Linked DNA regions of Saccharomyces cerevisiae S288C. Changing the gene in region 2 together with the main gene of any one other region gives a genetic interaction. Each region holds a gene or a part of one and is shown on either strand. Other genes may lie near its edges.

Region 1 (2,779 bases), on a different chromosome or scaffold from region 2:
CAAGTCTAACGATAAGTCTTTCAGAGAAAAGCACATTGAATTCCAAAAGACAGGCCCATTCGAAGTTGGTGTCCACGTTTTGCCAAAGATCTTGGATGAAGCTGTCGCTAAGTTCCACTTGGGCAACTTGGGTGTTAGATTGACTAAATTGAGTAAAGTCCAATCTGAATACTTGGGTATTCCAGAAGAAGGTCCATTCAAGGCCGACCACTACAGATATTGATCAATTCAATTCCCATTTCAGTTCTTCTTTCTCACTATTTTTTAATGTTCAAAAACTCAACGGTTTGATCATCAAAAAAGATCATAAATAAATTGCAAATATAAAAACAACAGCTAACAATCCTATCACAGTATTAATACTAATACATGTGATACTAAGTTACGTTATCGAAAAGATAGATCCTGTATACCTATATATATAATAAATTCTTCAACAGTAAATATTTCATTCATGCACTTGACTTTTTTTCATAAATAAGGGCACGTACACTAAAAAAGCTACATTTCTCTCAGATAATGAGTAGGGCATGCATATCCCTGTGGATTCTTATCTAAATATAACTGGTGGTATTCTTCAGCATCGTAAAAGTTCTTGATTGGTTCAATAACTGTGGCAATCTTATTACCCCATTTTGGTTGCCATTCTTCCTTTATTTTGGCTAATTCTTTTAAATCAGCATCTGAATGAGCGAACAATCCACTGCGATACTGTGTACCTTTATCAGGTCCTTGTGAATTAGATGTAGTAGGATCATGGATTCTAAAAAAGAAATCAGTTAATTCTCTCAAAGTTATCACTTTGGGATTATAGGATACTTGTAAAACCTCCGCAAAATCTGTGTCACCACCACAAACTCTCTTATAAGAGACACTAGAGGGGCTATCCTTTTTAGACTCTTCTCCATTAGCGTAACCTACTTTACAATCCACTATACGGTCATTCAAATACTTCCTATACATATGTTCTGTACCCCAAAAACATCCACATGCTAATGTGATTAATTTATCCTTGGCTGGATCATACTTAATGGTTTTTGAAATAAGCGACGACATTGCAACTTGATTTACTTGTTAAGTTTTTGACGTTAGAATATAACTGTCTTTCCAATTAAATCTATATATATGATATTGAAAAATGTGTCTCTGTCTACTCTTGTTTATATATGCCCTTCATTTTACTCATCGCAACTCCCTCGTTTTCGGCGCGATCAACTGTGGTGGCGGATTTTTTGACGCTGTGCCCGTTAACTCATTCAATAGTGCTACTGCTATCACTGTCACAGGCTACAAACCGGTCGACTGTATCTTGTGCGTCTGTGACAAGTTGGTCAAGGACAGAGGAGTGTTCTCTTTCTAACCTTGGAGCAGTCAAGTTTGGAGGCAACATCTTAGTACCTTGAAGGCGAGCATTGATTGTGATGCTTGAGCGTGATTTTAAACCAGACTCAGGCGGATTTTTCTCAGCATTAGTAGTTCTTGACTTTTTTATTGGTGATATTTCTATTACGTCCTTCCAAACGTCAACCTGTTCGTCCTGTGTAAGATCCCGAATTCTTTTACCGGGTGAACTATCTAAAACGCTTTGGCTGTTTGTAATCTCATCTACAAAAATCAACGAATCATCGTCATTATCGCTGTGTTCATCGACGGTGGTCAGTCTTGTGGGAGCCGGTATTTCTTCCAGACTAGTATCTTCGTCTGTATCTACAAAAAGCCTTTTTCTCACAGGTTCCAGGATTTCCTTTCTCGACTCGCCTACCTTTCCGATACTTTTAATCGGCGAAGTATGCTTTCTTAAAAACTCATCCAAGTTATTCTTCTGTGGTAGCCGAGACTTATTCGATTTTTTACCTTTCTTCTCTTTTTCTTTCTGTATAAGTTGCTGTGTCTCATAATATTGAATTACTAATGGATGCGATTGAGGTATCAAGTATTTGGGTAACCAAAGACTATTTGGGTGTTCCATTATATCCATCTGACGTCGTGTGGGACTCTTGCTTCTACTGGGAGAATTACTGCGCTTCAAAGGAGATTGAGAAGAAATGGGTATATTAGGCAAGAATGTTGTATACCGTATTTTAAAACATGGTATTTGGAACTTTCCACCATCTATGTTCATAATTTTTTCTTCGGTAATCCTCATATTACCTTTACCTATATTATCGGACTCATCAATTGATAAAAATTCTCTTAATAGAAACATCTCGTGCATAGAATCATGAAACCACTTGTCGAAGCTAGAAATTTGAGGCAAATTCAAACTTTGTAAAAAATATTTCAGTTCATTGAAATTTAAGTTTCTGTAGTGTCCGTTTCCAGCCATATTTATGTATTTATCACTGAGAACTTCTTCATCAAAATATGGTTGGACAATGGGGTGAAAATAGTGCATGATTGCGACAGTTGATGGCCAGCCTTCAAATGAACCTTGATTCAATAAAACAGGATAATTTCTTCCAAATAGCTCGACAGAATGATCCTTGCAGTATAAATATAATCTTTTTTGAAACAATCTATACCGAGACTTCCTCAGACTTTCTGATGTCAAATCTTCTAAATTGAAATCTTTGAAAATGTCATAAAATTCCATGGAAAAGTTAGGATCTTCGCATTGAGCCAACTGCAAAGATTTGTTTTTACCCAAACCCTTGACTCCACGATTGTAATCGGCACCTAATAGCACGCTGAAAAATAAGAGAGACAGGCGATCAAACTTCTTCCCTGCTACTTTATTAATTTTGGGTAGATCTATAACAGTAACAAAAGATTCTTTACT
Region 2 (2,458 bases):
TCAACTTTTGCATTTCAGTGTCCATTAGATCTTGGGACCATTTCCTCAATCTTCATGTCGTCTTTTCACACCGTATATAATATACTAGTAATATAAGTACTAGTCGATAGCTCGCAGTTGAGTCTTATTCCAACAGTTAATGACTCACTGTGCTTTCTGTTGCTGTAGAATTTCTGAGGCATTGTCGCTCTCTTCTATGTGATGCTACAACGGAACTAGGCTTCTTATATATCGTGGTCCTACAAGATCTTGGTATCTCGTTTGCTTACTTTGAAGCTTCACTGATATATAGTACTTAAACCACTTTTATGTTCATGGATAATCGTAATTGTACTACGCTGGTACCAGTTATGAACCCTATCAAATCATCATTGAACACTGCTATTTTTAACTAATCAAGATATATATGCGGCGTACTTTATAATTTCACGACACTATTGAAAGCAAACTAAAAATCAAGTAAATACCTATCCAAGTTGCGGGCTCTGGATTTATGTGGCCTTAAATTTTCGACCTATGGTTCGCTATTCAATATTAGAAAACCAAAATTAGGTACAAGTACTGATTGCGTCCGTGATTTGAAGAGCAGCGTTAAAAGATTACAAGATTTTGCGTGTCTTGGCCGACACTTAACTTTAAGCGTCTCGACTTGGTAACATGAGTTGCCAAAAGTTTTTCTCTCCAATCTGAATATGGGGAACCGGAATCTGTCTTTGACCTGACTTTCAAATTGTTGCATATGTAAAAAAAAAACAGAAGAAATATTATCTTGTCCTTCTAGCGATGCAAAAGGATTCATTACAAATCGTTGCAAAGGCCGAAAAGTTGCAGTATATTCGCATTGCTTATTTGAAGTACGTTTGTATACACATCGATAGTATTCATTAACACCACAACGGCTGAGTATACTATGTCAAACAGCACAATAAAGCCTGTCTGCGATTTTTTCCTCTACGTTCAAAAATCTCATTCAAGGCATAATCCCATATGTTGAAGATCGCTACCCATTGTTACAGGCAAACTGAATTTTTGGAAATGAGCTTGTACTTAGTAAATTTCTCTTTGCTTGCATCTTTTTCTTCCTTGTCAAAAAATAAAAGATACTCATTTTAAAAGCGCAGCCATATTGACTAAGTAAGTAATTATAATACTATGAGTAATTTTTGAGTACTGTGCTCATTTATTAGCTGCTTTTCTGAGAAAGATCCTCGATAATCAACTCCAGGTTAGTGGGGCGCTTCTACGGTCTCTTCTAACCAATTGTTCCCCGTGAGTTGCTTTCTCCGAAAACCTTATTATACATTAGGGTTATAAGAAAATTTTCTTTTTCCCGTAGATTAACTTGCAATGCCGAACTTCTAGATGTCACACCAGACCGTTTGACACCGCCATTTTCCTTCCTTTTCGGAAAAATGTGCCGATAAATGGTAAGACGCGACGCCACCGCTGCGAATATTGCGCTTATGATGAAGCAAAAGGAAAAAGCAAGTTCCCCTTAAATTCGTATAACTGTTTCATCAATCTTTAGTTCTGGCATTTGAAAGTTAATTAAACTTTTCTTCGTGGTTTCTACAGGAGTTCTGCATGTGCGTAATTCGAAGCCTGTGAAGGAAAAAGTATTGTCCTAAACAACAGCCGTAGAATACGTCAACTATAGTTTAAAATATTTTCTGGCTCTACCCGGTGCGATAGGTCTGGCTCTTTTCTATTTACTTTTGTTTGGAGTTGTTGAGGCCGATACCCGTCTAGATGTAAATATGAAATAACAGTTCGAGGTTTTATTACGAGAATGGAAAGGGTAATGGATTGGAGCATGTGTAAATGTCAATAGCAGAAAAAATTTACCGCAAATTGTTTCGTAGTCTTATCTTCATCGGACACTCAAGGGTTGCATAATTTTTACCCAAAGGAACAGTATACTTTTTTAATAAAAAAATCATGTTACCTATGGAGTATTGTAAGCATTTTCAGAAACTCGTCTTTTGAGTTCTAAATGCATCATACAACAACAACAATTTCTTATTACTGTGTCCTTTTGGGATTTTTCAGCCTTCCTGGCTTACCCAAAATAGCCTCTCAAGGTGAAAAAAACCATGCCTGCAAGCGGATCTAAGGATGAGTAGCTGGATTACAATAAATCCTGAATTTTCTCTGAGTGTCAACTTTGTCAGCGCTTGTTAAAGGGCTACTACGCTGAAAAAGAACCTGAACCCCGTTAATAGGTTGACGATTTTATGACTTGGTATGCTATTCCATACGGCGGCTCTCCTGATTGCGGTGGGTCATTGCTATAACAGTAAAATCAAGGAAGATAACAGGAAGAGTAACTTTAGTACAATAAATCTGTTGTCTACCGAGGATTATAATTGTTCGGCTTTCACACTAAGTTGAAAGGGGACTCAGGAAATGACAGGGTACGTTTTAGTTTCTTCAAATAAATCTTCCACACCCAGCTTCA
Region 3 (4,231 bases), on a different chromosome or scaffold from region 2:
CGGGCAGCTTACTAATATAAATTTTGTGGCATTTTTGTTGGGATATGAGAATCATGTATCGTTGATTTACAAAGCGAATTTACGTTACCAGGAATAGGGAATACTCTCTTGAATTCTAACATAAGCACAGAAATGCTGAAAGAATACGTCAAAAAGTAAATTTACAGAATTAAAAAAAAAATAATTGTTGCCGGAACATGAATAGAGTGTATCAATATACAATATAAAAATTCAAGCATTTTCATTAACGGGAATGAAAAAATTGTATATTAGTACTTCTTTTTGCAAGATATTTAAATCTAGGACCCTCATCACAATGATTCATTTAAATCATTAACGTTTTTTCAGAACAAAATAATAACCTCTAGTTGAAAAAACTTCAAAGCCGCAACAAAACCAAAAAAAAGTCATAATGTCGAGTAAAAATAAACTCGATGTGTTAAGTACTAGTTATATAAAATAAAATTAAATAACGCCGTATCTACCTACTGGCTAAAAAAATCATTTGTTCACAACAGATGAGGTGTTTCGCCCTTCATCTACCACAGAAGTTTCCAAATCTTCCTTCGGATCTTTAACATTAATTTCTGCAGCTGCTGCTTTGGCAGCTGCAAAAGGGTCGACTTTAGTCGACTTGAACTTTCTTGCTGGAACACCAAGTCTAAACAATTCATTTATCTCAATAAAAGTCCTGCCAGCGGTTTCTGGTAAATCGACAACAGCCCAAGCTAAAGTGGCCAGACAAAATCCTCCCCAGAAAAAGCCTGATTTAGCACCCCAATTCCATTTCTCTGAGTTCAATTGGTACATGATCAAAACTGTAACTACAACTTGGATCACATTGTAAGCATTACGAGCCAAAATAATTGTTTTGGTTCTTAGCCTTGAAGACGGTATTTCAGACACTAAGCAAAAAACAACAGGTGCAATACCGAGGTTGTAAAAGAACGCGACAACCATTAGAAGAGCACCACTACCCATTTTAGCGCCATGAGTGTCTGAACATCCTAAACCACCGATAATGAAGAACATAATAGCCTGAAAAGCCAGCCCAAAAGCATAAAGGTCAAATCTGCCACAATATTTTGAAGCCCACCAGGATATAAACGTTGCAGCAATACCAAGACAATATTGGATAATACTGAAAGTAAAAGCCGTATCAGTGCTAACACCAGCTTTTTCATAAAAGTAAGTTGAATAACCAATTAATGATGCACCACAGGAGCATTGACCGATCCAACATAAACAAGCTATTCTCGTTCTTCTCCTGTTAATACCATCTTTCACACAATCCCAGTAAGTTCCTTCATCAGACATTTTCTGCTCCTTTTCTATAGTAGTTTTGATTTTATCGAGTTCCATACTCACTAGTAATTCTTTCTCGGGTCCTTTACCACTTAATGTTCTTTCAAGTGATCTCCTCGCTTGATCAATCCTTCCTTTTTTAACCAGCCACCATGGAGACTCTGGTGCAAAAAAAATACCTACCGCCAAAGGAAGGGGCCAGATCCACTGCAAAGCAAAAGGTAGCTTATATCCTAGTTCTGAGTTGGCATATTTGTTCTGGGAATTTTTCATAATACCAGCAGCGAAAAGTTGACCGAACGCCCAACATAAATTAGAATAAGTCGTCAAATAGTATCTTAGGGCCAAAGGACAAATTTCAGAAGCATAAGAAACGGTCAAACATTGGAAACAACCCCATGGCATACCACACAATGCCTGTCCCACGGCAATCATACCCAAACTCTTGCAAAAATACAGAATGAAAATGAAAGCCGCTAAAAAGAACAACGCCATGATCAGAGTGTAACGGTTGCCCATGTAATCTACAGAAGGCCCAGTCATTTGCAAACCGACAATCTCACCTGCCATGTAGCATAGACATAGACCGATTTGCCAGGAAACTGAAATTTCATAATCTCCTGTATTGCTATTCAAAGAACCATATTTTTTTTGAAAAACAGGCAGGGCATAGAAAGCTCCTAGAATGGCTGTGTCATAACCCTCTTGAATCAATGTTGTGGAAACTAATAGTGACCAAGCAGCAGCTTTTGGATATGTCTTCAAAGCTGTCATGAGTGGCATTCCCCTCTCACTTTCATCTGCCTCTTTGGCGTCCTGCATAGCTTCATCGAGAAGGTCGGGGACTTCTTCATTATTATCGTTTGGTATTAGTGAACCTGGACCGTACTCAAGATGGGAAAGATCAAAATCACTTTTCTTACCTTGCTCCTCCATCTCTATCGAGTTGAATTCGGTAGCGTTCACGCCATTCTCGATCTCATCTAAGTGTGAGTCGTTCCTGTCTTTTTTTCTGTTTATTAATGAGGATAATCCCTTCATAGTTAATTAATAGTCTTGGATGTAATTCTTATTGTTATACTGAATACGCTAAAACCACTCACAACAAGTATGGAGTATATTGTGTCTCTTTATATACTGAGTACTTATGCAATATGCGCTCACTCAGGATGAAATGTACACAGCCGAAAGTATATTGAAAGCTGCCTCTGTGGAAACTTCTATCTAATGTTGTCTCCAGATGTAGACTATGAGGCCTGAAGAAGTCTTTAAACACCTGTTGGAGAGTATAAGGAGACTGCTACAACAACGTCTTCCCCACAAAAATTATGTGGAGGCCGGTATGATACCTGCACAAACGTTAAGTTACACATGAAAAAGAGACTGACATAACTTTGATCTCTGAAAATATGTTTTCCCCTGAGTAGCTTCACTGCTTGGATACCAATACGAATAGACCTTGGCTATAGTAAGTTGCATCTGTACCGTAGAGATTCTTGCAACCTCGCTTAAACTCTCGCTTTTATATAATATTTCTCCTTATTGCGCGCTTCGTTGAAAATTTCGCTAAACACGGGGTTTAAGTTTAAGTTTACAGGATTTATCCGGAAGTTTTCGCGGACCCCACACAATTAAGAATTGGCTCGAAGAGTGATAACGCATACTTTTCTTTTCTTTTTTCAGTTCCTAGCGTACCTAACGTAGGTAACATGATTTGGATCGTGGGATGATACAAACAACGTAAGATGAGTAGTTCCTTCCTCAATTCTTCTTTCAGCATCATTTTCTTGAGGCGCTCTGGGCAAGGTATAAAAAGTTCCATTAATACGTCTCTAAAAAATTAAACCATCTATCTCTTAAGCAGTTTTTTTGATAATCTCAAATGTACATCAGTCAAGCGTAACTAAAATACATAAATGACTATTTCTGATCATCCAGAAACAGAACCAAAGTGGTGGAAAGAGGCCACAATCTATCAAATTTACCCAGCAAGTTTTAAAGACTCCAATAACGATGGCTGGGGTGATTTAAAAGGTATCACTTCCAAGTTGCAGTATATTAAAGATCTTGGCGTTGATGCTATTTGGGTTTGTCCGTTTTATGACTCTCCTCAACAAGATATGGGGTATGATATATCTAACTACGAAAAGGTCTGGCCCACATACGGTACCAACGAGGACTGTTTTGAGCTAATTGACAAGACTCATAAGCTGGGTATGAAATTCATCACCGATTTGGTTATCAACCACTGTTCTACAGAACACGAATGGTTCAAAGAGAGCAGATCCTCGAAGACCAATCCGAAGCGTGACTGGTTCTTCTGGAGACCTCCTAAAGGTTATGACGCCGAAGGCAAGCCAATTCCTCCAAACAATTGGAAATCTTTCTTTGGTGGTTCAGCTTGGACTTTTGATGAAACTACAAATGAATTTTACCTCCGTTTGTTTGCGAGTCGTCAAGTTGACTTGAATTGGGAGAATGAAGACTGCAGAAGGGCAATCTTTGAAAGTGCTGTTGGATTTTGGCTGGACCATGGTGTAGATGGTTTTAGAATCGATACCGCTGGTTTGTATTCGAAACGTCCTGGTTTACCAGATTCCCCAATTTTTGACAAAACCTCGAAATTACAACATCCAAATTGGGGGTCTCACAATGGTCCTAGGATTCATGAATATCATCAAGAACTACACAGATTTATGAAAAACAGGGTGAAAGATGGTAGAGAAATAATGACAGTCGGTGAAGTTGCCCATGGAAGTGATAATGCTTTATACACCAGTGCAGCTAGATACGAAGTCAGCGAAGTTTTCTCCTTCACGCACGTTGAACTTGGTACCTCGCCATTTTTCCGTTATAACATAGTGCCCTTCACCTTGAAACAATGGAAAGAAGCCATTGCATCGAACTTTTTGTTCATTAACGGTAC

Evidence for each region. A genetic interaction does not mean that the proteins touch.
Region 1: mutations in YAL064W (region 2) and MXR1 together harm fitness more than expected from each alone (negative genetic interaction), as found in Saccharomyces cerevisiae (one large-scale study listed by BioGRID).
Region 3: mutations in YAL064W (region 2) and MAL31 together harm fitness more than expected from each alone (negative genetic interaction), as found in Saccharomyces cerevisiae (one large-scale study listed by BioGRID).

What each region holds. Positions count from the first base shown.
Region 1 is NC_001137.3:233,214-235,992, reverse strand, and holds MXR1 (peptide-methionine-S-sulfoxide reductase), read right to left. Parts: upstream 1,057-2,779; coding exon 502-1,056; downstream 1-501. Other genes in the region: SAH1 (adenosylhomocysteinase), read left to right, coding at 1-223; YEN1 (crossover junction endodeoxyribonuclease), read right to left, coding at 1,253-2,779. UniProt on the Saccharomyces cerevisiae protein: Has an important function as a repair enzyme for proteins that have been inactivated by oxidation. Catalyzes the reversible oxidation-reduction of methionine sulfoxide in proteins to methionine.
Region 2 is NC_001133.9:19,907-22,364, reverse strand, and holds YAL064W (uncharacterized protein), read right to left. Parts: upstream 800-2,458; coding exon 515-799; downstream 1-514.
Region 3 is NC_001134.8:802,130-806,360, forward strand, and holds MAL31 (maltose permease), read right to left. Parts: upstream 2,347-4,231; coding exon 502-2,346; downstream 1-501. Other genes in the region: YBR298C-A (uncharacterized protein), read right to left, coding at 2,906-3,127; alpha-glucosidase MAL32, read left to right, coding at 3,222-4,231. UniProt on the Saccharomyces cerevisiae protein: High-affinity uptake of maltose and maltotriose. Also transports turanose but not alpha-methylglucoside, melezitose or trehalose.